Linked DNA regions of Schizosaccharomyces pombe. The protein of the gene in region 1 binds, or shares a complex with, the protein of each later gene. Each region holds a gene or a part of one and is shown on either strand. Other genes may lie near its edges.

Region 1 (8,124 bases):
GTCATGTTTCCATGTCCATCCAAGACTTCGATAAAAAGAGTTGATATTTTTATAAACTATTAACTCTTTTAATTCACTTGTAAAAAGTCATGTTAAAAAAGTTGTTCGTTGTAAGACATTTGCTATATTCTTTATAAAATTAATATTATAGCTTTATATTATATAACGATACTAATTTAGTTATATCGTTGAAAATTCGTCTGAGAAAAATCCATATTCTGGCTAATCTAACATATAATCCAAGTATTTTATTGGCAAATATTTCAATTTATTGAAATTTGTTTTTGCTAACTGAACCAAACAACTAAAATATAGTTTACGTCGATTACTCAAATTTTTCTGGGAGTGGTGGTTCGTTCACATATCCTTCATATTATCGACGTATTTTGATTCCATACACTCCAACATTTTCTAAGTTTTTTTAACTCTTTTTTCTTCCATTGGAATATCAGTCTGCCGCTCACTGCTCTCGTATATTTGTAGAGTGATTCTTCTTAACAAGTGGTCAGTGGAACGAGTAACGTGTTCCTCATTGCTCAATGGGATCGCCAGGATTAACTTCATGAATTAGCTATAAACAGACGCAACGCCATTAAGCATTGCTCTTCTTCATCCACGAAAACTGGAAGTCGCTTTGCTTTTATACCTCATTTATCTTTTAAAATATAACGTATCTTATAAGCGCATTTTGGTGATTTCTTTCTTTTCGCTGGTTCATTGCTACTCAACTGTAAGCTGTTGCTTGATCGAACTCGAGACGTTATTAATTGTTCTAAAGAAAATACCTGTCGCTATTTCCCTTCATCTACAAGCGTAGGAGGGTGTTTTTCAGTAATCTTCCTTGGGACATCTAGCCTGAAAAGAGTGAAGTTTTTCGATTGCTATTCGTTTCAACCCCAAATTATACTGAAGATACTAATAATTTGTCTCTCCATGGCCTTGGAGTCATCTCGTTTCGCTATTGTCGGACTTCTTTACAACGAACACAGAATTGTCGTATTCTCTTTAGATTTTTTCTAAACGATATTGGCAAAAAAATAAACAACAATAACCTAAATATTTATTTTCTTTCGCCCCTTGAGCCAGTTTATTTTCATCTGTGGTTTTTGTACATCCAGGACATATCAAGTTGAGTTGTTTGATTGGTTCGAAAAAACAAAGTTTTGCTTACGTTCAAATCGCTTTTTGCACACATTCATAAAATATCGCAATATCCTCGTTTCACGAGATCCGAAAAAATATTTGCTTCGTTTTCTGTTCTTTTTAACTCTTTGCGTCAATTTTCCGCTACACAAAATAATTTGCATACTTCTTTTGTTCCGTTATAACTTCAGCTATTGTCATTTTTAGTAGCTAATGCCTGCTATTACTTGTGTTTGGTCCGATGGGCGCTCTGATACATGGCCTAATGTAAATGGTCATAGCAGAACAAGATCCGTCCCTTCGTTAAAGCCACTACCACATCAAGACAGTAAAAATTTACTTTACCGCCAGATATGCGGTCGTTTACTTGCCCAGCATGTTTTCGGTGGTGCCGGCTCAACCCAACCTATTCTCAACCAACTTTGTAAAAGATTGTCCACCGGTAATCCCAATAATACCAATGCGTCCACTGTTGTTACAGCCCCCGAAAAAAATGTGGTCTCTGCTAGACATGTTCGACCAAATCCAAAATCTTCCAAGGACACCTTGGAAAAACAACCTAAATATTCTTCACAAATATACCTTACCGACAGTTTTGAAAATTATTATCTTGCCTCTTTACCCACCAATTACCAGCTATATCAGCGTGATTCAAACCGTGAAAATGGCAATGGTAAACGTGAATTTTGGCTTTATGGCCATCCCAGTGGTCGACCATTTCGATCAGTTAATGATTTCCTTCATCATTTGTATTGGCTTATATCAGATTTGACCCGTAACGAGTCTACCTGCTGTTGCGTTCTGTGTTCTGGTAATATGACGCGTGTACGCAAAAATCTCCAAAAAGAAAATGAACGGATGTTCCATGAATGTAAGGATGATACATACACCTGGCCTTCTTCGTATCGCCTTGGCGAAGTGGTATGGATTGACATAAATAATGAGCTCATTCCAGCAATTATAGTGGCTCGGAACTTAATAAACTATGAAAGTAACCAGATGGATGCTGTCAAATTAATATCTGATACTTTTGTGGAACCATATCAATACCATTGCAAACAATTAGGCAACTCTCGTTATTACTTTGACATGGCAGCTGCAGATATTGAGCCTTGGTCCCGGCATCCACTCGATTTACAAAAACAAGAACATCTAGTTGCTCATTCTATATGTCAAACGTGGAACCTATTTGGTATCTTCCAGCCACTAGAAGGTATAGATATGGAAGAACCAAAGTTCCACGACGAAAATTATTCCATCCCTCTCACAGTTTTACCAACCTTTGGGGGTGAATCAAATAGTTTAGATGATCATTTTTACGGAATTTTCCGTGGAGCCGAAAAACTATGGATTAATGATTTATGTGTTATATCCACATCTTCACTGCCATCTGTACTTCAAAAAACAAGTTTTATGTACATATCTGATATTTATGTAAACGAAGATGACATTGTCTGTTTCCAAGGCTCACTATGGACACAAATTGACAAAAATGCACTCGATTATAATGACAGCGCTGACAATATTGATGAACATAAGGATGACTTAAAAGAATTACCAAGAAGATTACAAATGGTATCAAAACTATCAAACACATATTTTCGTTGCCTGCATGATAAATCTGTCGAGTACGTCTGCCCATTCGCAGATGTTTTGGGAAGATGGTATGAGCCTTGGTTCGTAAAAGGAGATTTAAATTACACTTCAGAAGTGAAAGAACGCACATCCAGTCGATTATCAGCAGTAGGCTCTGAAAATTGGGTCGATGACGATTTTTATGAATATTTACTGTCTGAAATTGATATGGTGTCAGCAGTTGTAATGTAATAAGTATGGCAGATAAAATTAGATATAGAAGTGTCTACTTATTGATCAGTGACGGTCATTATTTATAATGTAAATAATATGGGAATAATAATGTCTTTTGCATTTCATAAATTACAGAGAAAGATAGGTAAAAACTATTTGTGTTGAATTAGAGATGGGATATAGTTTTTTTTAAGAAATCATGTTGCACTATCACACCGGTATTAATAAATCATTTCTAAGTTCAGAAGGTCAAATACAACGGTGGAAAAGCACCAACAATGTTGGGCAGCAGATTAACTGCACAGGAAGATTACGTAAACGAAGAAAACAGAAAAGTAATATAAACATACTTCATATGCGTCGCTCCCTTCTACCTCTCGGTCCTCCAAATTTAATAGGTGTTCGATCCATAACCTTTACAATTTTGTCTCGAATTACGGCACCTTCTTGCCCTAATAAACAATTTTGTACTGCTTCCCTGGCCTGACTAAAACCATGAAATATAACATGCAAATTTTCAATACCAAGGCGCTTTACTTGGATTTGTTCCAGCACCTTGGAGCAAATGGTATAAGCAGCATCGTAGCCACGGCGCTTTCCTTTACGAAAACCACAGGTTCCTCCAGAGGCCCTAAAAATAATTTTTCTTTCAGGAGAACAAAGTGTAATGTGAGTGTTGTTCTTCAAACATTTGGCATGAAGGTAAAATGGCATTGGAATGGTATCCGTACCTTGCATAATCGGATTTGGCTCCTCCGTCCTTTTTGAAAAAGCTTTTGGAGTGATTGTGGATTCTAAAAGAGAAGAGAGTTCCTTTTTGGGCGCATTCCGCCTAGGACTCTGGCTCCAAAATCTTCGTAGTCCAACTTTTGTTAAATTAAGCATTAGATATTTGATGAAAAATAGCTTGCTAAGAACCGATTTGTAAACCAAAAATAAAATCAAAGAACTAAAAAATATGGATGAAAATGTAAAGGAAATGAAAAATGACAAATTGTAAGTAACCGAGTGCTTCAATACCATAATTTCTATACCAGGTAACTTATGTTACTCAACCTGTGGTAGTGGTATGAACGTGTAAATATTAACCTAAAACACTCTTCTCGTTTTAAAGAAAAAATAAAGAAATAAAAAATTAAAAATCTTACTTTGGTGGCTGCCTTAAAAGTTTTTCAAACGGATCATTTGGGATACCCAACGACTGTAATTTAAACGAAGATTGGTGAATTGAAAACACAAATATAACCCATCTTTTGAACAGTGAAGATTTTGCAATGATACCAAATGAGAAGCTAAAACTATTAGGTTTATTATCAATTTCTTTTTTTCTTCAATGGTATTTAGCAAACACTTGGATTGCTGAATTCCTTTACAGGCGAATCGAAGTATCGACGCCTGTATCCGGATTTTTACGTGTTCGTGAAGGACTTTACTTGTATGAAAACGGACTAGACCCCTATTCTGGTGGTGTTTTCTATCAGTCTCCACTTCTACTGATCTTAAATTATTGTTGTGAGTTGCTTGGAGGAATATCTGTCACCAGATTTGTTTATACTAGCATTTCTACTATGGGAGGTCTCTTTGTGTATTTAATTGCAAAACAAGCTCGTGTTTTAGACCCAAATCAAGTACTATCTACTTGTTCACCATTATGGATTTCCGTCATGTAAGTTACGCATATGGCTTGCGACAAAAAAAGTGAGACATTCTTCAAAAAAATGAAAAGCATTGTATCGTTGGTTTACAAAATTGTTAACGATGACTGTTCAAAGATTGAACTGCGTTGATTACACAGATTTCGTAGTCGATATTGAAAATGTGTACTTCTGTGATATATTTGTGTCGCAAACAAGTATCCTTAACTCAAAATTTACTAACAAAATATTACTTTAGTTATCTGCTTAACCCATTAACATTTCTTCCAGGAATTGCTTGCTCCGCAGACATGATACTTAATTTCACCACTCTAATGACCATTTATTTCGCCTCTTGCGGATCCTATGCAATTTATGCATGCTGTATGGCATTGACTGTATTCATTAATCCTAACGCTTTACTGTTATTTTTCCCCTCCTATCTTATTTTAAGAAAATGCAATTCATCCATTAAATTTCGTCAGATATTCGTTGTTTTTCTTTTTTATCTTGCAGGTCTGATAATAACTTCAGGCTTCTTTCTGAACTCGTTATCTTTTTTGAAAATTCCATTTAGGGTATACTTGGACTCTCATGATCTAACTCCGAATTTGGGTCTCTGGTGGTATTTTTTTACAGAAATGTTCAATGAATTTCGCACATTCTTCCTTTTTGTATTTGCCATTTTACCATTGATGTTTGTTCTCCCTGTTTCGATCCGTCTTTATTATCTGCCCTTGCCTATTACTATTGCTCTTATTGGCCTGCATTCTTTATTCAAAGCTTACCCAAGTATTTGTGATCTTTCAATATTTTTATCTCTCCTCCCAATTTTTAATAAAGTCCAAGACCGAATGCGATATAGCTTGCTTACAAATAATGCTATTGTGTTTGCGCTTGTACTGGGATCTGCATTTTACCATTCTTGGATAACTCTTGGATGTGGAAATGCAAATTTTTATTACGCAAGTAACCTCATTCTTGCTCTTGGACTCTCTTTAAAAATCATGGACTTTCTCAAGGCACTGCTTTTGGTTGATTGGTATGCCAATCACCCACAGCATGAAAATATTCCATTAAAACAGGTTCAATAAAGTAATCTGTTAATTAGAAAATGATATTCTTAGGCTTCATCTATCCAATTTCATCATTAGAGCCTCACCTTTCTGACCTTACGAAACGACCTTTTCCAATTTAACGTTTAGAAATTATTTATTCATACATACAAATAGGAAATTTATATTTCATATTTTTTTCCTTTTCCGAGACGATTCAAGGACTTTTTTTATTTTTTTTCATATTAGGTATTCATGGCATCCCATGGCACTACTCCCTTTACCACGAAGTACCCATGAAAAGTTTTATGCAAAACTTCATCAGCCATTGATGTTTAGTTCCAAAAGATATTTGAATTCCTTTGGTTGGGAGGAAGGAAACGCTTTAAAAGAAGGAGGGCTCACCAAACCAATTTTAACTTCTAGAAAATATAATACTCATGGGGTATGTCAGAATAAAAAATCTTAGAAAAAGATGGGTTTTTTCAGTAAAGTTATGTATGAATTTATTTTTAACACACGGTAGCTTGGTGCTAAACATGATATTGCTGATCAATGGTGGGATAATGTTTTTTCTGCTCAACTACAGTCAATTCAAGTAAATACGGACAACGGAAAGGTAAAAACAACTTAAATATACAATTTTTCCTATCTCTTTTACACAGTGCTAACATTTGGAAAAGGTTGCAGTCCAAAGCAATGGTGTATCTACAAAATTGAGAATGGCAAAATATCACAGCAAATATTCTGCTCTGTCTTCTGTGTTTCGTTATGCTGGTCGACTTTGTGGTACCTTTGAGGAAGATTTAGTTGATAAGAGTCTTGATTCCTCTGTTTCTCCAGTATCGTCCAAGAAAGTCAAAGTCAGAAAAACTTCTGGCAAAGAGTCTTCAAAACGAGAGAAGTCCAAAAAGAAAAAAGAAAAGAAGGAGAAGAAGGACAAGTTGAAAAAAAAATCCAAGAGATTAAAATTAGATGATTCTCATACTCAAAAACGAAAAAGAAAGGTTCGTGACAAAGAATCAAAAAAATCGTCTAAAAGTGGACTTAAGAAGGTTTCGGGTACTAAAAAGGTAAAGGCTTAAAAGGAAAGAAAAATCGTTTGCCTAGCTTTAAATATGAACAAGAATTGGAATTCTTTATTTTACGATTCGTCCAGAAGTCTTCGAACATCCAAACAGCAAGTTTTCTAATTCTTTGAAGTTTCAAAAACACACTTTATTTAAAGCTTTTTATTTGTTTTTCTTGTAGTTTCATTTCGTTTATCAGCGGGCATACATTTGTTGAACGACGGGGTGTATTATATGGGTATCAAAGAATTTGGTATTTGGAAACAGGAGTCTAATTGTATATAAATAATTAATAAATTATTAGAATTGAATTGTTTTACAAATTAAATGATGTTTAATAGGATCCTAGTAAAGAATATATATTTTATTATAAAACTCTGCATTGGATGATTGAATGTTTACAAAATGAATAAAAGGCTATGCATGGAAAGGGAATATTATACTATGTAAATATAATGTCTAAATGAATTAAATTGGAAGCATCGAATGAGATGTCCATTAGCATATTATTACACTCAAACTACCATACCAACTCAACAAAAACGAAAGTCTAAAAAAATGGAGGAATTGTTAAGTAAGCAACGGGAAGAATGTAAAGAACTTCAAAGCAAAATTACAAACCTTCGTAAACAACTAAAGGAAGGAAATAAAAAACAAAAAAGGGCTTTGCAGCAAAAAATCTCACAAATGGAAGCCGATTTATCACAAAAACATGCTACAGAACGACAAAAATTGGATAAAGGCGATGAAGAGACAAATGAAACGCAGCAAGAAGATCTCCTCAATACGCTTTTACAACAGATGGAAGATACGAAAATTACGACGGCAGAAAAATCATCAGTTCAGTCCTCATTGAATACTAAAGAAAATACACCGCAACAGCCTAAAAAGTCTAGGAATAGACAAAAAGAGCGACTTGTAAGTGCTTAACTTTTGACGAATTATCACTAACAAAGTTAATTAGGAACGACGTAAAGCAGAGATGAAAAAAATGTCTGAGCAGGCAGAGCTAGAGTCAGAAAAAATGGCTGATCTCAAAAATGAAGAGAAAAAAAAGTTTTCAAAAATCCTTGAGGAAGCTGGACTTGTTGCAGTCGATATACCAGCGGATGGAAATTGTTTATTTGCTTCCATTTCACATCAGTTAAATTATCATCATAATGTTAAACTAAATAGCCAAGCTCTTCGTAATAAATCCGCTGATTATGTATTAAAGCACTGCGAACAGTTTGAAGGCTTTTTGCTAGACGAAGAATCTGGAGAAGTTTTGCCAGTATCCGATTATTGTAACGAAATTCGAAACAATAGCAAATGGGGAAGTGATATTGAAATACAGGCATTAGCAAACTCTCTTGAGGTTCCTGTTCATGTCTACAACACAGAAGGTCCAGTTTTAAAGTTTAACCCCTCAAC
Region 2 (8,053 bases), on another chromosome or scaffold:
ATATATTTATAAAGAATAAGTAAGGGAAGAAAAAAAGAGAGAACGATGCGATACTTCATCGAGTATCAGCTATCTTAATATTATCTAAATTTAATTAACTTTCTCATGAATAGTGTAGGTAATATTTTTGCAAAGAATCGCGCTTGCATGTTCCAGAGCAGTAATAAAAAGTATCAAAAAGTTGCTGATGCAAAAATGACTAATACTCACACCAATGTCCTTCCACGAGCCTTCGTCCTTTACTAAATAAAAAAAGTTAATTGTAACTATATCAGCCATTCCAACTGCCAAAAAGAAAGTAACTTGCTGAATCCCTCCCAGTCGTTTGTTCATTATTCCAAAAGCTGCCGAAAGTGCGATAAATGGAACCAGAATAGTGTACATTAAGAGTGCACCTTGTGTTACCGGATTGAATACAGGAATAAAACGTTTCACCGAATCCAAAGCGAATGTGGAAAGTGAAGCCACGTTTCCTGTACCAAAAAATGCGACGTTAATAAATATGTAGAAGAAAAGGGAAATGCGAATATGAGAAAGAGATAAATGGAATTTTGCATCTTTCTTTCTGCTATATTCGGGATGTAGTTGTTCCGTATATTTTTGAAGTTCTGTTTCTAGTTCCATCCATAATCCTAATGTTATAAATAAAACAACATAGAAGAGTGCTTCAAAAGAAATAGATAACATGCACATTGTAGGCGAAAATGTGAGAAACAAAATAGCCAGACGGTCAAGAAAATAGTGTTTACAAGACCGAATATGATGACTTGGAATGATGTACGACGTTATGAAAAGTCCAAATGCAACTAAACGTAAAATTGGTGGTATGGCAATATTCCTTTGCAGACTGTCTGCAATTTTAAGCGTAACAGGGACAGTTGCCATAATAATAAGAACTTGTAAAACCAATTGTTTGTTTGTGACCGTTGAGCTATATTGAAATGCTTGATTTCGTCGGTAAAGAATATAAAAAACCCCAGCAACTGACATTGCAAATCCTCCAGCGAAAATAAATAATAACGATTCCTTTTTATTAACTGGTAAAATCGTAAAAAAGCATAATAAGCTCGTAAGCACTGACCACGAGACTGATATAGTTTTGTGAGAAAAAGCATAATCCGCATGAAGGAGCCATGGCCATGCGGCCAATCCCATTAAAATTACGGAAAATCCTTCGCGGTGAAAATAACTGTAAACGATAAATTGTAACAGACAGAGAATACACAACGAAATAAACAAAATTTTTAATAGAGAAAACCCATGCTTTTGCTTTGCAACTGTTAAAAAATTTTTGAAACCAAGTTTGGTATTTGGGAAAATTGAATGAATGAGTTGCAGAAATATGGTTGGGAAAAGAGCATACCCATAATAAAATGGTGGACTAGACTGGATATAAAAAAAGATGCAAATTAACAAAAAAGGAATATTAAATGCGACTCTCTTGACGACGGAAACAGGCTTTACTATTTTGGAGGATGGTTCTATGTTTAAGCTGAAGACAAAGCATATGACATATCCAATCCAACTCAAATAACCAAAGAAAACAATAGATCGAAGAAGAAGCCAATCGTAACGTTGTAGGTAACGTAGTCCAGAAAGAACCGTTTGGCTAAAGTGGAAACAATGCTCAATAGCAATTTCATATTCACCAGATTCTATGTCAGCAATAACTGAGTTGTAAAAGGATGCTTGTACCTCTGTATAGTTCCTCAAAGGAGAATATGGGCGAAAGAAAATACTAGTTTGATCCTTTGAGGCAGACTTTAAATTATATTGTTCACCAATTTCTAAAGCATTCATTAAGGCAACCTCAGCTTTGCGGCGAGAAGAGCAATCAAGATAATCCAAGGGTATTTGACCCACGGAATTCACAGGAAAATTTAAACCGACAAGGTAAGACATTAAAGCTGCAATATCTGCTTGTTGTATATCAATACGTTTTATCTCCGTCAAATTCCATGGCAAAGAATACTCGTCATGCCCATAATTCTTCTCATGAGTAGGACTTTGAATACCAGCACCCCAGGCAATGATGGGAGTACGTGTATTATCAAGGTTGCCATCACCATGACTTCCAAAGTCACTCATACCATGGTCTGCTGTAAAAACCCAGCTAGAGGCTCCGTCGTTATTGTAGTAGTTGTTCATCTTATCAACGAGTTCTTGAATTTTTCCATCTATATACTGTATGTTTTCGACATATTCAACTGAGTCAGGGTGTTTATTATGGCCAATTGTGTCAATGCCCAGTAAATGAAGGAAGAATACTATTTTATCCCGATGCAACATATCCCAAAGTTCCTTATCCTCTAAAGACTGAGCGAGAAGTTCATCTAGCCTATCAAAAACCCATTCGTCAAGAACAATTCCGTTGCTAGAGAAATCCTCCAATTCAGAAGAATACATGAATGTATCAACTCGAGATGGATCAGATGCACCTTCACTAAACATAGGCAAAATATCTTCGGATCCAAACGAATAAGTATGCCGACTCTGATTAAACACAGAATCGAAATTTACTGGATTTTTTTTCCAGCCTTTTGTGACGGCTGAAACATCTTCGTAAAAACCAGCTATTAGAGCAACATGTCCGGGGCGTGACTCGGTGGGAACACGAGTATGAGAAACACCGAAAGTACCGTTATTCTGAATAATTGATCTTAAAAATGGAGCGGCATATGTCTGCTCTTCTCCAATGACCTTTTCGGAATGTGGTTGTAATAGTTTATCAGGACGTAGTCCATCGCCTATAAGCATATTGGTTAGTAAAATAAGAAAAAGAAGGACAAGAAAAAAGTTGTACTATTTCTTGTTTTTTTTTCTAAATCCAAAACGAAAATATGACATTTTTTTCATTAAGCTCTATACACTAATTTCACTATTACAAATGTTTACTTACCAACAATTAGAAATAGGCGTTTAGCAGGAGCTTCGCCTGCAGAATACTGCTTCATGCCATGTATTAGAGGAGTTACGAAATAGATATCAAAAATGGATTTGAGAAAGACGACATGGAATAAAATCCCTAACAGCAAGAGGCGACCAAACATTGCGAAAATTTAAGCGTGAAACCACTACCACAATTGACTGGGAATACTAGGGGTTTTTGGCAAAAATTGGATAGATGCCAGGACGCTTCTTGGAAAAGAAGGATGCCCTAAACAAGGCAAGAAGTGTTTTGTTCTGGTGAAGTGCGTTTGAGTGTTGAGTCGTTACAAACATCAACAGAAGTCCCCTTTAATCTACCATTGGTTAAAATTCAGATGATCTACGCTCGATCTAATGAATAAGCGAACGCTAATGAATGTATACTGAGTTTTGTAATTAAGGATGCCGTGTTTGAATGCACTAATGAATAGTGGTAGCGCTCCATCGTATATTGTGAGCTATGGCCAATATGCGTAATTAGTTCTAGCTGGATGAAAGAGTAAATAATCAGAAATCTATTAAGGAAGTGATAAATTACTTTATGGTATGCAGTGCACAATAATGGGACTTATAGTCATCTGGTAATTAAGCAAAAAATGATTCTGTAAATGGATATTTTCGGTATTATTTTAATTTCCGTTGACAGAAATGTAAAATGGATGGTTATCATTTCATTGCTCAAATCCAAGATTAATGAAAATTCAGCGGTAAGCATATTTGGTTGTTACACGTTGAGAGTCGGTTTACTCATGACGATTATAATAAGATAAAGGGATACAACCATCAAATTGCTGCTACATGGCCAATAATAAAAAAATCATTTGCAATACGAAAGGAAACGAATTCATTTATTATAACATGCAGAAGTAATAACTTCCTGCGACCAGCATTAGTTTGAATAAATAGAGTAACAAACTCATCGATTTAACTAAGAAAATTGTTATAGGCTAGCAAAACAGAATAGTAATATTAGAGGGTAATGCAAACATTAAGCTCAATCTCGCAGTATTGTCAAACTGAAAAGATAAAAGAAGGTAGAGACAGTTATTAGACAATAAATCCTGTTAAGTAGAAAATCATAAGATAGGGGAGGGGTTAAGCAAAGATACCAGGAAAAATTTAGAAATGACAAAACAAAAAACGAATATTTCCCAAAAATGTCTAGCTCTTAAATCCGCGGAGAAGTAAAAAGCAATATATTATTTTACTTCAAAAGGGGGTTTTCGAGCATTCTCGTCTTAAATGAAAAGCTATGAGAACAACGATCTCCAAATACATTAATTTAATATGGATTTTCGTAACCAAGAAATAGAATGAAATGTTCGAAGAATCACTCAATAACCCCAACGACGCATGTTCTTTGCTAAGTTTACAAGTCGAACAATTCCAGCGCGGAACCTTGCCCTGTGTCTTTCTGAACGAACGCGGGATCGCTTTTCGGATGGTTTTTCATAAAATCTCTGTGAACGGAATAGCCTTGGCACATTATTCCTTTGACATATTCTATCAACTTGTCGAAATGCTCTTGTTAGACTATTTCCAACTGTCACACTTGCACCTAAATCTTTTGTTTCTGCTGCGGGTATCATAAAATGAAGCGAATCTTGGAACGCACCATGCTCCTCTAAATATCAATAAAGTATTAGCAGACAATAATCCAACAATCGAAAATCATATTCTTGAAAGACAATAGCAACTTCAATGGATTTTCTTCGTACCTTTTCTCTTTTGCAATTTCCTATTTGTATGTACCCATCTGACCCCTAGAACACCTGGGAAATAAGAACTGTTCATTTTAAATAGTTATTTTGCGTTTTCTTGGCAATTTGAGAAGCCTGAATCTCACCGCAGTACAACTGCATAAAGAATTCGTTAAATTGCCTTGAACATCGATTTTTTGCATTAGCGTAAAAGACATAAAATTCATAAACTAAAAATAGGATAATCACATTTACACTTCACTATATACCTTTACATGATACACATGAATCTGTTTTCCTCCAACAACTATGCAGCGGCAGAATACGCGTAAGTAATTTCAATTTCATTGCTAAAGAATTTATCTAATTTTATTTAGAGGCTGCCGGTATGCCAATGATGCCACAGGTTCCTATGGTTGGCAACGGCGTTCCATATGTCGTCCCAATCCAACCTGTATTCGCCCCTTTACCTCCTGATTACAGGAGCTTATACAAAAAATTGTATGGCCAAGGCGCTTTTTTGGTAGATAATCCTGTTGAGGCAAGTAGTCCCTATGATTTTTCGCAGCCAATTCTGAAGTTTGGTAAACTTCCCATAAAACAAGTTTTAAGAGATAATGAATCGCAACAAAAAGATAGAAAAAACTTACCCCGAAATCAAAAAAGTAATGAGATTCAGGAGAAACAGACGTTTCAAACACCTTCTTCAGAGAAGTCTACAACAGAAAGGGAATCGCGGCCGTTTGTCCCTCCAAATAGTCAACAAATGCGGCGGATGCTCTTTATTGGTAATATACCGAAAGAATTGGATGATTTTTGGATGGATAAAATTCTTCGATTGTCCGGGAAGCTGGCTTCTTGGCGAAGGGTTGCTGATGCAGATAACTCGATGACTTCGTTTGGATTTGCAGAGTTTGAATCAAATGAACAATTCAGTAGAGCATTAGAAGCATTAAATGATTTTGTTGTTCCACCTTTGTACGAAGGTGGTCCTTCAACTCGCTTGTCATTGATTACAGATGTTGAGAATGAGGGATTGTATCGTGAATGGCAAACGAGTCGTTATGCAAGAAATAAGCAGAAAGAGATAAACATTTTACAGCAAATTCGCTTTAACCTCGAAAGAATTTGTCAAGATATAGGCAATTTTGATGTCCGTTCTCGCATTGAAAGGGCAGCTCGACAGGCCCGAGAGAAAAACGAAAAATTACTACAAAATGTCAAAACTTCGGAAATTCCCATTAATGCTGCTGATTTAGAAGGAATTAATCCTGAATTATTACCGGTTATTGAAGAAGAAATACGATCCTTTCGCGATCAATCTGCTATGAAAAAACGAGAAAAACAAAGGTCTAAGGACGAGTATGCCAGTTTATATAAAGAGTATACACGAAAAGAACAAGAAAAGCTTCGAAAGCAAAATGATGATTTACAAAACCTTTTGTCAAAACATCGTATTTCACGTATCCCTATGTCTACAGTCAATGCCTTTTTAAGAGCAGAAGATAGCATTCCCGAGTCGTTCTCCGATGAACAAGCTTATTATGAAGAGAAGAGAAGGAAGGATCAATTGGAGGCTGAAGAGTATTACGCAAGGGAACGGCGCTGGATGAATCGTGAAAAGGCCCGAACTGCAGCTTTAGAACGAGAAGCTGCTCGTGAAGAAGAAGAACGTGTTAATAACACTTCCTTTGGTACTTATCTTTCGGAAAAATTAGCTTCTTTTGATGACGATGAGGAAGCTCGCGTATCTCGAGACGAATATTTTGTCGATCGTGCTGCTTGGATTAGACATCGTGCAGTTGCTCGTGCTCGAGAAGAAGACGCAGATGCTCTTGACAGAAAGGAGGAAGAAAGAGAACTACGTACCCGTGGAGAAGGTGCAACCGTTGAGACAGAGAATTATGTCGAAAATGGTAAGCTGGTGACTAGTGAAATGCCTCAACATGAAAATGGTCCCTTCAAAATCAAAATACAAACCAAGAAACCAGCTGTTCCTTCTGAAAGACGAGAATTTGGACTTCCGGAGAGACTGCTTTTGGAAGAAGAAGACGAAGAACCGCAAGGCTATTCTCCCAACCCTCAAAAACCAAAGCCTGCTATGGAAGAAAATGATGCCGAGAAGACGAAAAGACTTCGTTCACTTATTGAAAAGATACCTGTTGAAGCAGAAAGTCTGTGGGCACTACCAATTGACTGGAGCAAGGTTACTGAGGTTTGTGATTTTTTCAACTTTTATATGTATCTAAACTAACACATTATAGGATCTTCTAAAAGAAGAAATGCAAGCTTTTGTTACCAAGAAAATTATCGAGTATATCGGTATTCAAGAGGATTCACTTATCACATTTACCATTGATCATATCAGGCAACATAAAGGTGCGGAACAGTTAGTGTCTGAATTGGACCTTGCTCTCGCTGAAGATGCTCCAGAGTTTGTTAGCAAAGTATACCGATACTTGCATGTACTACTGATTTTACGTTCTGAAGCATAACGTACATATTTGGGTAAAGTTTTTATTTAATGGTGACGATTAAAAGTTTGTAATATGTATTTATAAGAAATTTTTTTAAAAAAATAAAGGCAAACCTATGATGCCTTTTTTTTCGCAGTAGAATTGTTGTTTAGTATTTTGAGGCCGGCTTCTAGGGAGATTCCCAAAAAGACCAATAAAATACCAAGCCACTGAATCGAAGATACAGTGTGATGAAAATGAAAAACACTAAGAAGCATGGTGAAAATTTTTCTTGTAAGTGTAATGGTAACGAGCGTTATGCTTCCAAATTTTTCAAGGGTGAAGAAAATGAATAATTGACCGACAGAACCTGTGCAAGCAAACAACAACATGTCTTTAAGGATGCTTGGATGTCTGTTTATAAAAGACAAAGGCTGCTGGTTGCAAAAAGGAGAGATTAAATACAGGCCATTTAAACATGCGATACCCAAGTTGACCGCAATCATCATGGTAACGCTTGATAATTTGTATTTACCAAAAACCTTGTCTTGAGTAGTATTAGTAATTCCGTCCATGAGCAAATTAAAAAATAAAAGCAGTAAGCCAATAGGACTATCATGCTCAGCATGTTTACCTTTGGAAGAAGTGTTTTGAAAATAACTAAAGATACTTACACCTGCTGTAATCATTGTAACAATCAGGTATTTGTGAGGAGGAAACTTTCGTTTGTAAACGAACACATGTAAAGCAATAACTGGAAGTAACTTGCATGATTTTCCCAGAATAACAGTAGGATAAGACAAATGAAACATGCTTGCATATCCAAAGTAAGAACTTAAGCTAGCCGATATGGCAATACTAGAAAAGTATCCTAAAAACTTAGGCTCTAGCAAGCCTCTAGCAGAAACACCATGAAACCAGTTCCAAAGCAACCCACAAAGGACTGTCATGAAGGACTGTGCTAAGCTA
Region 3 (8,039 bases), on another chromosome or scaffold:
CCAGTATCTTGGGCCTTCGCTGTCGGATGCTCTAACACAATGTCTCGTAAAACTTCATTTTGGGTATCTTGATGTCCATTTTCATTTAAAGTAGAGTTATTGAGAGCATTCAATATCGTTTCTTTATTTTTTTCAATAGCAGAAGCGTTTGACTTTATATTTGAAGTAGTTCTGTTTTGCATTGCATTATTTTTTTTGAAAAGAAAACCCTTTTTAAACAAAGAAGTCTTGCTACCATTTTTAATTTGTTGAACCATATCTGAATCACTCAATGAAGCAGCCTGACTATTACTAATAGGACTCTCATATGTTTTACTGTCTGAATGATCACCATGTTTGCTGGGAAATTCTGAGACACCAAGTGTTGGAGTTGAAGTAAATTCAGTATTAGAAGGTAATGAGCCCATTTCTGGAGCTTTGTAGTTAATATTTTTCGTAGAATCGTTAATTTCTTCTTCAGATAGCTCTTCAATTCTCGAAGATGTATCACGGTTCCCCCCATTTTCAATATTTTTGAAACCAGGAAGGGATCGAAAGACATCCGCATAATCTATTACAGATGAAATTCTTTGTGGAGCAACAGAAGCACTTATAATATTTCCATCTTTATCAACTTCTTCATGAATATCCATAACAGGTAACCCTTCTGAGTTTCTTACTATCAACTCGGATTTCTTCTTTTCAATTGAAGATGCTAAGTCATTATTGTAATTTCCCAAAAGTAAATGAATATGATTTAAGACTGGATTTTCATTAGCAATTAGTCGTTTGATGAAGCAAACATTATCACTCAATTTATAAGAAAAAGTAACGTACAATCCACATGGGATGCTGTTTCACATCCTTCAACTTTTCCATCTTCCTTACAGTAACGGATCGCCCTACCGACTGATTCAGAAATTTCGCTAATCTTAGAGAAGATTTGCTGTTCAAAATTGATGGCTACTAGTCTTTCGTCGTTCATTCGATAAGTTGTTTTAAAGGATCTTAAATAGAGTTATTGAAGAATTTCTAATTCAAAATAATCTCACGCCAACGATCGTTTCGTGGTTATTCCGGAAAAAGGCATATACAGCTTATTCGGGCAAGCTAATATTCACTTTAAAAACGAGATAATAAGTAATTCTAATAAATTTTAAATACTTTTAGTATTTAAATAACAGGGTAACTAATATAATATCGAAAAATCGATGTTAATGGAAATGGCTCAAACTGAGTAGGAAGCCACCGACCTGACCCTAATGTACGTAGAAAGCGCCATACTGCAAATGTCCTAAGCATCTAGTAATTTGGTCCCTTACTTTAAATTTTAATATTTTCTCACTGAAAATAATTTAAGTAAAAGCAAATGCATGTCTTAATCCTATAGGTCCAACAGTTTAAGCAAGTATAAAACATAATTTGAACATTAATGGGGGACTATTTTGCCTGGGATTTTGCAAATATCTCTGGGAGTAATACTTCTGGCTCCTTAAATTTAAATCAGTTGAACTGTAAGCGCTAGCAATGATGGTTGAGTTATAAATCATTCTGAACATCCCAAGCGTAAAATAGCTAACGGATTTTTCTAGTGGACAACATAAATAATGGTTTGCATAATCAGGAGGATGGAGCTGGAGGAAGGAATGAAAATTCTGAAAGAGTTGGAAGCGGGAGTCCTGGAAGTGTTTCCATGCAGGTTTTGTCTCTCTTCAGTGCTGTAAACTCAGCTTTGGCTACTTTGGAAAAATCAGAGGAATTCCCTTCTGTAGTTAAGGATGAACAGTCAATTTTTCCTGCTGTAGCAAAGGCGTCTAATTCGTTGGACGAGCTGGCCCAAAACATAATTCCTGCTCCTTCTCCTCCTGGGTTTAATAGAAAAAGAAAAACCTTTGATGAAGACAGTTCTGTAGAGATGATCCGAAGAGCCATATCAGATCATTTGGATTTACTGAACAATTGTTGTATTGGCATTGCTAATTTGAATGAGGACAGTGTGCACAAAATTTCACTTACACGTTCAGGGAAACCTAGTCAGCTGGTAACAGTTTCGTGTCGACATTCCTCTGTCATACAAAAGTCTTATGGGTCAGAGAAACGTTACCTATGTCCACCCCCTATGGTTTATATTAATGGGAATTACTCTTCTATATTCAATCAGTCTTTTCGCACTGAGATATCAATAATGAATGATTTTGGGCAATGTTCGCAACCCATCAGCGAAGAATACACTGGCCAAGGATGTATGATTTTTCGGTCACTGCATATATCGAGTTTGGTCGCTGCGAAATCTAAAAACTTACGGCTTTCTCTGGACATGTTCTCGAATGTAAATAACCAATTGTTATCTCATTTGGTTACTTCTTCTATTAGTATTGTCTCCAAACCTTCGAAAAAAGGAAGCAAACTAAAAATTAGTAATATTACGTTGCGATCCGGTTCAGTCGTCAGCCTTTATAACCGGATTAATTCACAAACTGTACGTACAAAGTATACATCGATTGAGGCTGGTCAGTTTTGTCTTCGCGGTGATAGATGGGTGCCATTGCGTATTAACCTGCTATTACCAGATGAAAATGGTAAACTGAAGGTATGCGACGATGTCGATAACCCAGAACCCATTAAATATGGCTCCATCGTTGAATTGGTCGATGAAGCAACAGGAACGACGAGTGACCCTTTAATTATTCGACGAGTAGAAAAAGACCACATTGCTGAGGAGGACGGTTACGTTAATCAAATGCATAGAATTGTATTAGAAAGCGCATATCCCATATCAAACGTACGGCATCTTAAGATCGCTGAGCATAGTTCACTGGCATATTCCAATAATATTTCAGTCCGTTGGTTTCTTGGGGCCACGTCGGCACAAAACAGAAATGCATCTAGTGAGGCTATATTGCCCATAGAATGGGAAGCTGTTGGAAACTTGAGTTCAAATGAAATGACTCGAGTTGGAGATTCTGTATGCTGGACTATAGTGGGCATATCACATTTTGACTGTACGATGATGTTACCATTCAATCAAAATCCTGTACCAACGGTTACTGATTATCCATATATTGAAGAGCCACCCGAATATTTGGAGAGCTCGCGCTCATTACAATTTAAAATTGGAGGCTATTCGGTCGGATTACAAATTTGGCTAGGTGTTCATGGACCATTGTCGTATAGTTTTACCGCAGCTGCTGATACGAGTACAATGGGTACGGTCACTCTAGGTCTGTCGCAAATTTCATATGATCCTTCTTGTGCAGAACAAAAGTATCCTTTGTTGTTCGTGATTCCAGGTGGGATTGTCATTATTGGAAAATGCGAGATTTTGCTAACGTCAAGTGCTTTTGGAAACTGATGCATCATGATTAATTTTACGTGTGGTTTCATATGGCGAAATATTGAAATACAATTTGTTTTCAAAATGATGGAATTAGGTTGAAATCTCTCTTATTAAATGAACTTTATATTGTACAAACATCCTAGCTTATGGAAACTCTAACATATAGAAAGCAGCGGAAGCTTTTGATAAGATAATTGAATCGTCGAAAATATGTACTTAATAATTATGATTTTCAAAAGCTGCAAAACAGAAAAACTTTTAATAAACTAGTAAGGTGTCTGTCGAGAGCTGTCGATCATATATTATGTGGACCGTAATCGTTTCTCCTCGGGAGGAGTTGCTGTATCCACTTCCAAATTTAAATATCTTTTATCTGCTTCTCTTAAAATTTTACTATAGCAAATTCCTTCAACTTTTGAAATGCTGTTCTCCATTACTGATAATTTCTGCTGTAATTCTGACTTGACCTTAGATGGTAAGTGTTCAATTTCTGAGCAGTTTTTGTGTAGTCCACGAAGAAATTTAACTTGCTGAGTGAGTTGTTGGACAGAGAACTTAGAGCCGTTGGTTACAAGGAATCTCATTATTTCACCAGTCATGTCACAAACACCGAGTACATAGTCGATGAAATTAATAGAAATTCTAAAGCTACTATCTTTACAAGAAAGTAACGTACCTGTTTGTAACCAGAATTTGAAAGTGACAGCTTCAACATACTCTTGAAGGCCGTGTGTACAAGCAGAAGAGAACTTGTCTGCATTTAATCCAGCCAACTCTCTCTTCAGACTTTCTAGTTCTTTGTGAATTTTTTTTTCAAAAATGGATGTTCTGTCGAAATCCTTGGGTAGAGGAAATCCATCAGAAGAGGATGTTTGATGTAAAAGAAAGATCATTCGTTTACTTTGAATTGTGATTTCACGAGAAAGACGAATAATTTTCTCCCTCTTATCTTGATCCTCCTGTAAAAAATTTTTAAATGAGAGGAATTCCTCTTCCATATTTGGCAAATTCGGTTAAAGTTTTATAATATCCTCAATTCAGCAAAGCCGTGTGGAAGGTATAAATGTATAAGTCTATATTATCAATTGAATTAAATGCAAATCAAGATGACTATTTGTTGTTTAAGAGACGAAATATTGTTTAGTGGATCATTGAGTAAGGTTAGTTGGCTCTGTGCTATGAAATTGAAATAGTGATTTGAGCTGCAGCAGGACAATCGACCATGTATGGAATGAAGAGAAAATATTGTTAATAAAGATCGGTTAATAGGAATAATGAATTTTTTTGGTTATTTAAATTTACTGTGGACTAAAGCCATTTGCTTCTGACAATAAAATCTTGAACATGTGAAAATAATAAATATATAAAGAAAGAAATTTGAGCTTTGCTTGAACAATTCTGAAAATAACTACCCAAGTTTTTTGTCATTTCCACGTGTTATTTAGTTATATTTCTTAAAAAGAGTCCCGTCCTTTTTATATTTACAACATCATTAGTATTTAAAATAAATCTTAGCCTACTTAAAATCCAAGGCGCAAATGATTGTTTATCACAGCATAAATTCTTGCAATTAACGAAAGAGTGTACATTCATCAATCAATCATTTTACTAAATAACAATGCCGATGAAAACAGACTCAATACTGCTTAATTACTCAAATACATTACCAGGATTGCCCAGTTAAAGAGTATGTAGAGAAAGATATTATTCCTACTCAGCGTTGGCACAAAATTCATTGTGTTAAATGCTTTATTTACAAAGCTGTAATTGCTGATAAAAAGTGTCACAAACCGGGATCGAACCGATGACCAACAGATCTTCAGTCTGTCATGCTCCCAACTACACCATTGCGACTAGTTGTTATCCATAGTCATTATAGATCTAAATAAATTGTATTCTTAATAATGGTTTTATAATATATTTTTCAAATGCAGTATTGACAAATACATATCCTTGTCATTCACAGATTATACATTTGTAAATACTTCCTATGTACTTAATCAACCTTATTTAATTTACACAATGCTTTAGAAGTCGCATACAATCTCCATCGATTATATATTTTATAAAACGATTTTCCTTATGTATTTTAAACATGTTTATCATTACATTACTAGAGTAACACAAATATTTTTTCTATTCCAAAAAAGCTTCTGCGGGTATAATTTTAAGCATATGGAATATTGTGAGTTGACAAAAGGAGACGGGATAAATTCAGGTGTAAAAAAACATTTATTCGTAAATCACAAGTCGAATAATAGTAAAACAAAAGGATTTATGTTTTGGCGGAATGGGAATTAAGACTATGTTTTTTAATGAATGGGATGTGTAAATATGCAGTATCTCAATTCACAAACTATTATGAAAGGAGTGGGAGATTTAAAAGGAATTCTGCCATTGATCCTTAGCTGAAGAGAAGGAAAACTTAAACATATTAGTTTAAATCTAACCAGCCTGTTAGATATTGCTTCAATTTTCAAAACAAATGAGTAATGTTTATTCTCTTATTAACATAGAGAAAGGAGACAATGTATCCGGAAAGAAGTTGTACGTAATAATAACTTTTTCCATCGAAGCCTCATTTAACTCGACATATAACGTTTCCTCCCAAATTATTCTTAATTGCATCGTCAATACTCATTATACCATGTTTAGTTTCTACAATTCCAACTTCTGCAGGCTCCAACCCATTCACAAAGCTAACTTTCCTTCCTTTGGCAAATTGCAACAACTCAGAAGGAGTCAAGTTCACCTTTCTACTAGGCTTTGATACTGCACGTATGTAGTGAAGAACCGGTTTTCCCTCAAAGTACTTTAAACCCAACCATAGACGGCGGGTCGCTACATTTTGCCTAGTGGTGATTGTGGGTAAAGCATCGGGTCCATGAATATCTCCGCGTTGAATCGAGCTTAAAAATCCTTGATGATACAAAACAGCACATAACTCGAGCACACTGTTACAGTTAGGAACGCTTGCTAACGACTTGCGAGCGCGAAATGAATTTTGCAAATGCGAAAAAACATAATGCAATTGCATTTCGACTTTTTTAACACAATCCTAATCTTTTATAAGCAGTCCAACAATAAAAGCCTTTTTTTTCTATACAGAATGGTGTTTTGAGGAAAGAAAAGAGGTATGAATGCAGTTTAGCTAGTCACTTCCAAATACCTCTCTCTGTACTGGAAGAATAGTAAGTAGTGAACGGTGTAGCTAGTGTTACACACTATTAGCAAGTTAATGGACATTGCAGTAATCACTGGATAGTAGTATATTAACGACACGATACTAAAGTTCACAATAAATCACTATATAATAAACTAAAAGCACCGGTTTACTATGTTTGGAAAACAAGGCGCAAAATTGCAAAACCAACGGTTATTACGGCAAAAGCCGTCTACCAAATGTTAGAGATTTACTTTGTACAGAATAAAATATGGATCTAAATCGCTGTGTCAATCTGTTAATATTATAGCATTCAAATTACCATGAAACCCACAAAGTTGTCAGAAGTGGGAAGCGAATTTTTGTGCGTTTAGTAGTTCCAAAATCCTCGAAAGGTATTCGCAAATGTAATAATCGAAAAAATTATAATAAGCAGTGTTCAAAAAAACAAGCGGTACAACAGCGAACGCCTGTAAAATATAGGGATGTAAAAAAGCATTTGAATACAATGTAAATTCACAATTGTATAGGATTATAAAAATTTTTTATAAAATAATGGCATAACGAATTCTTTACTGATATTTTAATTACAGAAAAGAAAACGTGAATTGAAAACAAAAGCCTAACAGTATGGAGAACGATTTATAATGCTTCTTTATGTGGCCGATCGTCCAGAAATTACTGATTTACTCAGTATAATATATTGATTTAATTAAGTTTCGCTTCTTAAAAAGGTTGTTAGTTTCGGTAAGCTGTTTAACGAGTATTACACAAAGCACAAGGCATTTTAATTTCATAAAAAAATGTCCGTTTTAATTTGAAAGACGTTCGAAATCAACACTTTTCAAAAATCAGTGCAATTACCGAAATCATTTACTTGAAAGTTGCCAGATTAATATTCTCAAAAGCAGGTTGTAAAAATGTATTATAACTATAAAGAGGATTTCAAGCAAGCAAATATAACAAGAAAAAGAAAACAAGTAGTAATCATTGATTTTGAACCTCCCGGTATTGTTAATATAGAACTAGTAAACAAATAGTAATTCAATGTACTATAATTTTCGTCAATGGTTACAAATAACAATTGGGTTCACTTTTATTGAATCACAACCACGATATAAAGAAAGAAGGGTTAAAACTCAAAAATCCGTCGATTTGGAACCTTTAAAAAAACATAAACCTATACAAAATTATGCGGTAATTTAAGAAAAGCTGTTAAAGATAAGCTTATATTTCTTATGTTCAGAAATTAAATAAGACTTATGTTGCGTTTGCGTGCTCAGAGAAGTATAGAAATAGACCTTAGTATATAGAAAATTCGAATGTATTAAGCATGTAAATAACAAAGTGATAAATAAAATATTTTCTTGATAGTTTTTTGATTTAATATAGTTTATAACTCAAGTAGGTTTTATATACAAGACAACTATGATGAGTCCTAATCTAGGGTTTGGTATATATAAGCTTCCAACCGCCAAAGCGAATTGTCTTCAGCCAACTCGTCCTTTATGATTCAGAGTGAGTAGGATGTCGTATAAACCAAGCTCAGAAATAGCTTTA
Region 4 (8,062 bases), on another chromosome or scaffold:
AACAAGCAGTCGTTGTTTGTTGGCCAAGTTATTAGTTTTTACATTACAAATACAGAACAGTTGAATGAAAGCACAAAAGAAAAAAAAATCTGAAACAGCCATCAAATTTAAAGGCAAACAGTACACAAAAAAAAGTATTTGTTTATGAAAATTATTGGTAGTGCAGATTATCTATAAACATGTAGTGGTAATAGTAAAAAGGTGGTGTATTGATATTATGATGAATGAAACCTATGTAGTTCTTCAAGAAAGTTATGCTTAATTCAGACTACATTTTCTGGAAATTCTTTTGCCTTATAACTTTGATGAATTTCATCTATGTATTTAATAGTATATCATTTAGTGATGAATAGTGAATAAATTTAGAGCTCCTTATGTGACAAACAAGGAATTAACTTGCATTCGATTCGTTCGTCTAGCACTAAATGAATCTGTGTTATTTGTGTGTGTAAAGAGATTAGTAAGTAGGCTCTAAAAAAAAAAAAAAAAATGTGTGTATATTTTTAATTTATTTTAAATATTTTTCTCCTTCGGTTCTTTTCTTCTTCTTCTTTTTTTAAGTTTTATTTATTTATTTTTTTATTTTTTTATTTTTTTTTTTTAATTTCAAACAGCTATGCTATAGTCTAGTGCTTCTCTTGCAATTTGACAATGTTTTCGTAAATTTTGCCAGATAAATGAGTTTTTGAGCAACTATTTAAATTCGGTTTAATATATTTAATAAACCTATTTTATTCTATGTCGAGAGAAGATTGAGATGATTAATCATTCCCTCTATCTATTGATTGTTTCATTCATTGTAACTAACAAATTCTATGATACTTCGCCTATCTGATTTACCATTATTCTCACTGTACTTTCTTAAAATGTTCCACTTTGGATGGTTTGGATTCTAAAAAAAGAACACTTGACTTTTCCTTTTTTTGCAAATCCGAATATTTTTAATTCTTGTCTTTTTACTTCTTTGCCCCCCTTTCACTTTCTTCTGCTCCTATCGTCTCCCCCTTTTTTTTTCCATACCTTTCGATATCTGAATCCTAACACAATTTCCTAATGTTCAAGAAAAAAGAATATTCGTTGATATATAAAACAACTTTAATTATCATTCTTTAAGTCATTTCATGTTTATTATTTTAATTTTAGCTTCTCTTTTGAATGCTTAGAGGCACTTTTTTTCCTTCCCTGTTAATTTTTTGCATTCCTTTTCTCTCTTCTCTTTTTCTATTTACCTTTTAACACTAGCACTGCTTTATCCCATGCAACCCTTAAATGTTCGAATCGATAGATAATAGAAGAATCATGTAAAGACTAAAAGGTGATTTTTCTCCCTTTTTTTTTTTTTTTTTTTTTTAAACGACTTTTATTGTATTGTCATTTTGCAAAGTGAAACCAATTTTATTTCTATTGACCCACCACTACTTTTACTAAAACAACAATAACATTAATTCCACAATTTTTTTTTTTTTACCATCTCCTTTAAATCAAAATCCAGGCTAAACCATTCACACCACCTCTTTTCATCTCTTCGTTTTCCTTCCGCTTTTTTGTCTCCGTCGCTAACGGGATCTCTCATTTGTTTACTGGTTATTCCTTCATTCATCAACATCACACTGTCTTTCTTTCCACCACTCACCATGCCAAGTGCCTGAATTCATCTGAACCGTTTCTGTTTTTTGCATGTTATTTTAGGGATCGTATTTCCATATCTTTTCTTTCTCATTTATTTCCAATTTTACATCTTTCCTTTGATTATTTACTTTATATATATGGACAGATCGACATACTAACGTGCACTTACCGCTTCTAGTTAGTCTCCAGTGTGTGACCTTTTCGTCATTACTTTGGTACATTTCCCTTCCATCGGAAAAGTAAGCTACTTCCATTCTTATTCATATTTCTTGTCTTTTCCCCATTTTTTTTTCTTTTGTAGCAGCGAAGAAGAAAAAGGGACATTCATTAAAACCATCTCCTTCAAAAACTCGTAGTTTCGGCTCATCCACTCGTTTCCTGTTTCTGTTTACATTTTTTTCACCACCAACTCTCACTACTTCTCGCTGCTCTGATCCCAAAACTACCTTACACTACACTACACTACGCTGTACTATACATATTTAGCTAGGAGAAAGCAATATCACTAACCAACGAATTACGATTTTTTGCCCAGTTTCGGTATAATACTTCCTCCTTCAACCCGGCCTTCCGACGTGATTTTCGCATTCTCTCCTTATTTATGAAAAATAGTTTCCCCTCCCTTTTAATCAGCTGTTAAGCGTCCTTATCTGCTTCTTTCTTTATAGGCTTTAGACGTTCAATTTGCTGAAAATTTTGTGGTTCCGTTTCTTTGTTTTCCTTCCGTGTTTGCTAACCTTTTTTCGTTGTTTTTGGCTTCTTCTAGGGAACGTCTCGGCTCAGTGCTCCACAATAAGCTATCGCTTAATTTCACTCACTCAGCTTTAAAGGAATACTGGAGTGGAACGCATACCCTAATACCGGATTGGACACTTTAAGGCTATAGCGGCTTTGAACCCCCCCTTTGTACTAGTAAAAGTAGGTGGGTGCAATATCTTCGTCGTAACCTCAACATACCACTTTACTTATTAATAGACATAATTCGTTGAAGCAAACGAGAGCTTTTTTGCTCTCTTGCCTTTGTTTTCTTCTTATTTATTTTTAATTTATTAAACATTTCTCTTTTTTTGACGTTTCTCCTTCGTTTTGACAATATTACGAGCATTGGCTCAATTTCTTCTCTTTTGTTGAGGTGGTAGGCCTTCAGAATATCGGTTGGAATTTTCTTTTTCATTTTGTTTTCTCCCTTTTCTTTATTCCATTTACAACTGTGCATTACGCTTTACCTACGAAATCCTAGTTGCTTCGCACTTCCCTCGTTTATCGATTGTTCGTTCGTACATCTGTTCCGTTTGCATTCCAATTCAATTTAATTAAATCAAAAATTTCATATCTATTTTTTTGTTAAATTGCCACATTTTCCATACAGAAAACATGAGCTCTTCTTCTAATACCAGCAGTCATAGATCTTATGGCTTACGGCGGTCCCAACGCTCCATGAATCTAAATCGTGCTACTTTGCTCGCTCCTCCAACTCCATCGAGCCTGTATGATGCTAACAATTCTACTTCATCTACCTCTTCGCAAAAGCCAAATACCTCTTTCACTAGCTTATTCGGTCCTCGCAAACAGACCACTTCCTCCCCTTCCTTCTCTCATGCCGCCCCTCTTCACCCTCTTTCTCCTCCTTCTTTTACACATTCACAACCCCAGATACAGGCACAACCTGTACCTCGGCGGCCTTCCCTTTTTGATAGACCCAATCTGGTATCACGCTCTTCCTCTCGGTTAGGTGATTCTCCATCTCTTTCTCCTGTTGCCCAGGTGGCTAATCCCATCCACCATACTGCCCCTTCACCCTCAGACGTTCGTGCGTTTCCCATTCATAAAAATGCATCTACTGGTGTAAAACGAAGTTTCTTTTCTTCCTCCATGTCAAACGGTGCAATGTCCCCTCCTTCCCACTCTCCATCTCCCTTCCTTCAAAGCTCTCAACACATACCTCCTTCTACTCCTGCTCAGAAGCTGCGAAAGAAAAACAATTTTGATTCTTTTCGTATCTCAAATTCCCACATCTCTCCATTTGCATCGGGCTCCTTCTCTCCTTTTGCAACTTCATCGCCTAATTTTTTATCGACTTCCACACCCGCTCCTCCTAATTCAAATAATGCTAATCCTTCTACCCTTTTTTCGTCCATACCATCCTCTCGACACACTACCTCTAATCATTTCCCTTCTAACTCCGCTCAATCCTCTTTGTTTTCTCCTACCGCTCGTCCACTTACTGCACGCAAGCTTGGGTTTGCCTCCAGCCAAACTAAGTCTGCCGTATCTAACAACCATTCACGAAATAGCTCTAAGGATGCATCATTTATGATGAAAAGTTTCATCCCTTCTAATCGCTCACATCCTCAAACCCAACAAAATGAATCTTCCCTCTTTTCTGATAACAGTATGGTTAACTCCTCTTCTAATTCATTCTCCCTTTTCCCCAATGCTACTCTACCTAACCCACCCTCATCTGAGTTGTTAACTACTCCCTTTCAACAAATCAAACCTCCTTCCCAAGTTTTTATGAGTACAGGTCTTTTATCCAAGCAACATCGTCCGCGAAAGAATATTAACTTTACACCTCTCCCTCCTAGTACTCCTTCAAAACCCTCTACCTTTGTTCGTCCACATTCTTCCTCCACAGATTCGCCTCCATCACCCTCGACTCCTTCCAATACACAAACCGACTCTTATTTTATTCAACGGGAAAACACTCCTACAAATCACAATTCCATTCCTACTATTCAGTTGGAGAAAAGTTCCATGGACTTTTTGAGGTTCGATCCTCCTCCTTCTGCTGTAAAAACTTCTCACAACTATGGATTACCATTTCTATCTAATCAGAGGTGTCCCGCTACGCCTACTCGTAACCCATTTGCGTTTGAAAATACTGTTTCCATTCACATGGACGGTCGGCAACCTTCGCCTATCAAATCGAGAAATAATAATCAAATGTCATTTGCCATGGAGGAAGAAGCTGATGTATCTCAACCCTCTTCTTCAAGCTTTACATTATCCTTTCCTTCTGCTCTCACCTCGTCCAAAGTATCATCATCTACTTCACATTTGCTTACACGGTTTAGAAATGTTACTTTACTAGGAAGTGGAGAGTTTAGTGAGGTTTTTCAAGTTGAAGACCCTGTGGAAAAAACTTTAAAGTATGCAGTGAAAAAGCTCAAGGTAAAGTTTAGTGGACCAAAAGAACGTAATCGACTACTTCAGGAAGTCTCTATTCAACGAGCCCTTAAAGGCCATGATCACATTGTAGAGCTTATGGACTCATGGGAACATGGGGGGTTTCTTTATATGCAAGTCGAATTGTGTGAAAATGGTAGTTTGGATCGTTTTCTTGAAGAGCAAGGACAACTTTCAAGGCTCGATGAATTTAGGGTATGGAAAATATTAGTAGAAGTAGCTCTTGGGCTACAGTTTATTCATCATAAAAATTATGTTCATTTGGATTTAAAGCCTGCTAATGTTATGATAACATTCGAGGGTACCTTGAAGATTGGTGATTTTGGAATGGCCAGTGTTTGGCCTGTTCCGAGAGGCATGGAAAGAGAAGGTGATTGTGAATACATTGCGCCTGAGGTTCTTGCTAACCATTTGTATGATAAACCTGCTGATATTTTCAGTTTGGGTATCACAGTCTTCGAAGCTGCTGCTAACATTGTTCTTCCTGATAACGGTCAGTCTTGGCAGAAATTACGTTCCGGTGACTTATCAGATGCTCCTCGACTTTCTTCAACAGACAACGGTTCATCTCTTACTTCTTCTTCTCGTGAAACACCGGCTAATAGTATAATAGGCCAAGGGGGACTTGATCGCGTTGTAGAGTGGATGCTATCTCCAGAGCCTAGGAACCGACCTACCATAGATCAAATTTTGGCAACTGATGAGGTTTGCTGGGTTGAAATGCGTAGAAAAGCCGGAGCCATAATTTATGAAGGTATTCATGGATCTTCTTCTAACCCCCAGGGTGATCAAATGATGGAAGATTGGCAGGTGAATGTTTAAACCTTTTAGAGACTCTTGTTCTCAATGTTTATTACTGCGAAATTGCGAAATAAGGGAATGGCTTCCAAAATCTGTTTAGCTTCATAAAAGCAAACACTTTAATTATTTTTAAACGAAAAGTTTAGTGATTGGTGCTTATAATTAATTTTGGTTCATTAAATGCTTTTTTTTTATTTAAGGATACGTGTCCGTTTTAACCGAACCCTTAAATTTTAAAAAATTTTAAAAAATTATTAGATGATAGTTTTTCTATTTAATTTTTTGCCTTTTCACCGGATTATCTATTTGGTTTTCTTCAGTCAAATATCCGGTTAATTATATCTGAGGCAATATGATGATGGCTATGGAAACATGCCATTCAGTTCTTGATATGGGGAACTAGAATGTTTCCTTAATTTAAAGCCTTGACGCCGCACATACTGTACGTGCTTTGTCTACTGAAAAAATGTTAGTGAACGATTGTTTTTTATATCGCAAATCCTTTCTCTAACATGTAGACTCGGCTTCAGAGGAGTTATTATTCCTATTTTTCATCTATTTTATTGTCTAATTTCTTATGTCACTCGTTTGTTATCGACTTGATATGTTGCATTTACTCATCTTTGCTAGCATAAAGTTCGAATCCCGACTGTTTATCCACTTTTTTTTGACTTCTGTTTTCATAATAATTTAGATCGATCGATGACACTGCCTATTATTCTTGTACATAGTTTACGATCTTGCTGAATGGCAAATAATTGGTTATGTTTATGGAAAATGCCACGATTTACTAACGAAGTTTAATAACCCGTTAGATTTTTTATTATTATCATATCATATAATAATTAGTAATAATGTTAACGTTATGCTTAGTTCCACTTCTGTAATTTTTAATTTCCCTTTTTTTTTATGCTTGTGAAAGCTGTGTATATGCTCAAGTTTGTGATGCCTTCAAATTAGTATAGGATTTTAATGACCCGTTTAACACTTCATATCTAAATAAACATTTATTTTGAAACAGAAAAGTTAGAAAATTCAGGTATCATCACGTTTTCATTTATCAGACACAAGCATAAGCTATAAACTATTTAACGAGTGTCTCATTATTTCACTAAACACCTTCAAACATTGAAATATTACTTTGACAACAGCACGGGAGAAAAATGCTTGGGAGACGAATATTTTCTCCAGCTCCAAACAGAGGATTTATTTTATGCAATCTCATACAATCTAATAACTCTACGCGAAGAGGGTTTTCGGACAATCGAAAATTTAATGAGAGAAATTCTGAAGCATCTTCAAATGTAGGATTTCAGAGAAGAGTTCGCTCAAATATTCCATCATATTTATCAGCCTCCGTAGAAGAAGGTGATATTTACTCTCCCAATGATTTACTGTTTGAAACGGTAAAGGCGAAAAATCAAGCCAAATTCTATGAACCAGTAAGAGAAGATTGCTTTAAGACGGTGAACGAAAACCCTATGAATTATTGGAAAAACCCCGTAATATTGTCAAGATTCGTTACTGAACTTGGTCGTATTAAACCCAGAGGTGATACTGGCCTAACAGCAAAAAATCAACGACTTCTTTCTAGGGCTATCCGAAGGGCTCGAGCTGCTGGTATAATGCCGACGAAATACAAATCAGTTTATTCGGAAAATTAAATTGTACTGAATATTAACAAGGACGTTCTATATCTCATTTCATCACATTGGTAGATATACTTACCCACTGTCCCTTACTTTTTTTTTCTTAAGGAACGATAAACGATCTACTTTACTTTTTAAATGATTAGCTCACGTTAATTAATATTTCAGGTGTACTTTGGTTTTGAATAGTCTTTTTTGGATTAAAATATACATGACACAAAATCATAAACCGCTGCTAATATTAGTGGCTAACATTTTTTAATGGCTTTAAAAATATAATATCTTTGTTATCTTTAATTTTTAATTTAGCTTGATTGAACTTTTTTGTAGGAGGAGCGTTAGTCGATACAATGTATTAAAAAAATTATCTAGTAGTAGTTATTTTACTTATCTAAAGAGGACAGAGAGGGAAGAACAAATAATTATATGCAAAAGAAGAAAAAATCCATCTAGAAAAGAATTGGGTTTTATAGAACGATATTAAAACGATGAGTGCATCATGGAGCTAGTTCAAAATATATGCAATAGGGCTTTTCATGAAGGTATATGAGATAAAAGAACAGAAGTTAAATCAGCTTGTGGTATGTAATTCTCCGACTTTAACGAAATTAGAGATCCTGAGAACTTAGAAGAATGACCTAAAGCTGTAAATAGCTGAGCACTCTTATAGGGATCTGAACTCTTTTTATGAACCCTTTGAATGGCCCACTCGATTGAATATAAAGCTTCGTGAATGGCTTGCAAAGGTGGTATATTACAAGCCAGATTCGATGCAATGGCAGCTGTAAGAGAGCAAC

What was found.
Region 2: mrps18 (region 1) and mrp21 share a complex: the UniProt entries of both Schizosaccharomyces pombe proteins name them as parts of the mitochondrial small ribosomal subunit.
Region 3: mrps18 (region 1) and mrps8 share a complex: the UniProt entries of both Schizosaccharomyces pombe proteins name them as parts of the mitochondrial small ribosomal subunit.
Region 4: mrps18 (region 1) and rsm18 share a complex: the UniProt entries of both Schizosaccharomyces pombe proteins name them as parts of the mitochondrial small ribosomal subunit.

What each region holds. Positions count from the first base shown.
Region 1 is NC_003424.3:4,963,920-4,972,043, forward strand, and holds mrps18 (putative mitochondrial ribosomal protein subunit S18), read right to left. Parts: upstream 3,944-8,124; 5' UTR 3,838-3,943; coding exon 3,304-3,837; 3' UTR 3,071-3,303; downstream 1-3,070. Other genes in the region: SHREC complex subunit Clr2, read left to right, coding at 1,357-2,970; gab1 (Pig-U family GPI transamidase subunit), read left to right, coding at 4,227-4,618, 4,846-5,680; tma23 (ribosome biogenesis protein), read left to right, coding at 5,973-6,086, 6,168-6,260, 6,325-6,726; OUT family ubiquitin-specific cysteine protease Otu2, read left to right, coding at 7,270-7,629, 7,676-8,124. UniProt on the Schizosaccharomyces pombe protein: Component of the mitochondrial ribosome (mitoribosome), a dedicated translation machinery responsible for the synthesis of mitochondrial genome-encoded proteins, including at least some of the essential transmembrane subunits of the mitochondrial respiratory chain.
Region 2 is NC_003423.3:613,417-621,469, forward strand, and holds mrp21 (mitochondrial 37S ribosomal protein bS21m), read right to left. Parts: upstream 4,758-8,053; 5' UTR 4,723-4,757; coding exon 4,647-4,722; intron 4,553-4,646; coding exon 4,263-4,552; 3' UTR 3,775-4,262; downstream 1-3,774. Other genes in the region: its8 (pig-N family GPI synthesis protein), read right to left, coding at 91-2,747, 2,900-3,050; U1 snRNP-associated protein Usp107, read left to right, coding at 4,938-4,956, 5,006-6,843, 6,893-7,123; ER uridine diphosphate-glucose transmembrane transporter Hut1, read right to left, coding at 7,219-8,053. UniProt on the Schizosaccharomyces pombe protein: Component of the mitochondrial ribosome (mitoribosome), a dedicated translation machinery responsible for the synthesis of mitochondrial genome-encoded proteins, including at least some of the essential transmembrane subunits of the mitochondrial respiratory chain.
Region 3 is NC_003421.2:326,131-334,169, forward strand, and holds mrps8 (mitochondrial 37S ribosomal protein uS8m), read right to left. Parts: upstream 6,437-8,039; 5' UTR 6,354-6,436; coding exon 5,895-6,353; 3' UTR 5,350-5,894; downstream 1-5,349. Other genes in the region: uri1 (prefoldin-like protein), read right to left, coding at 1-742, 817-964; DNA-binding transcription factor, CBF1/Su(H)/LAG-1 family Cbf11, read left to right, coding at 1,412-1,493, 1,572-3,331; tfx1 (translin family protein), read right to left, coding at 3,619-4,314; ago1 (argonaute), read left to right, coding at 8,007-8,039. UniProt on the Schizosaccharomyces pombe protein: Component of the mitochondrial ribosome (mitoribosome), a dedicated translation machinery responsible for the synthesis of mitochondrial genome-encoded proteins, including at least some of the essential transmembrane subunits of the mitochondrial respiratory chain.
Region 4 is NC_003421.2:719,231-727,292, forward strand, and holds rsm18 (mitochondrial 37S ribosomal protein bS18m), read left to right. Parts: upstream 1-6,759; 5' UTR 6,760-6,779; coding exon 6,780-7,280; 3' UTR 7,281-7,562; downstream 7,563-8,062. Other genes in the region: protein kinase Wee1, read left to right, coding at 3,004-5,637; SPOM_SPCC18B5.05C (phosphomethylpyrimidine kinase), read right to left, coding at 7,800-8,062. UniProt on the Schizosaccharomyces pombe protein: Component of the mitochondrial ribosome (mitoribosome), a dedicated translation machinery responsible for the synthesis of mitochondrial genome-encoded proteins, including at least some of the essential transmembrane subunits of the mitochondrial respiratory chain.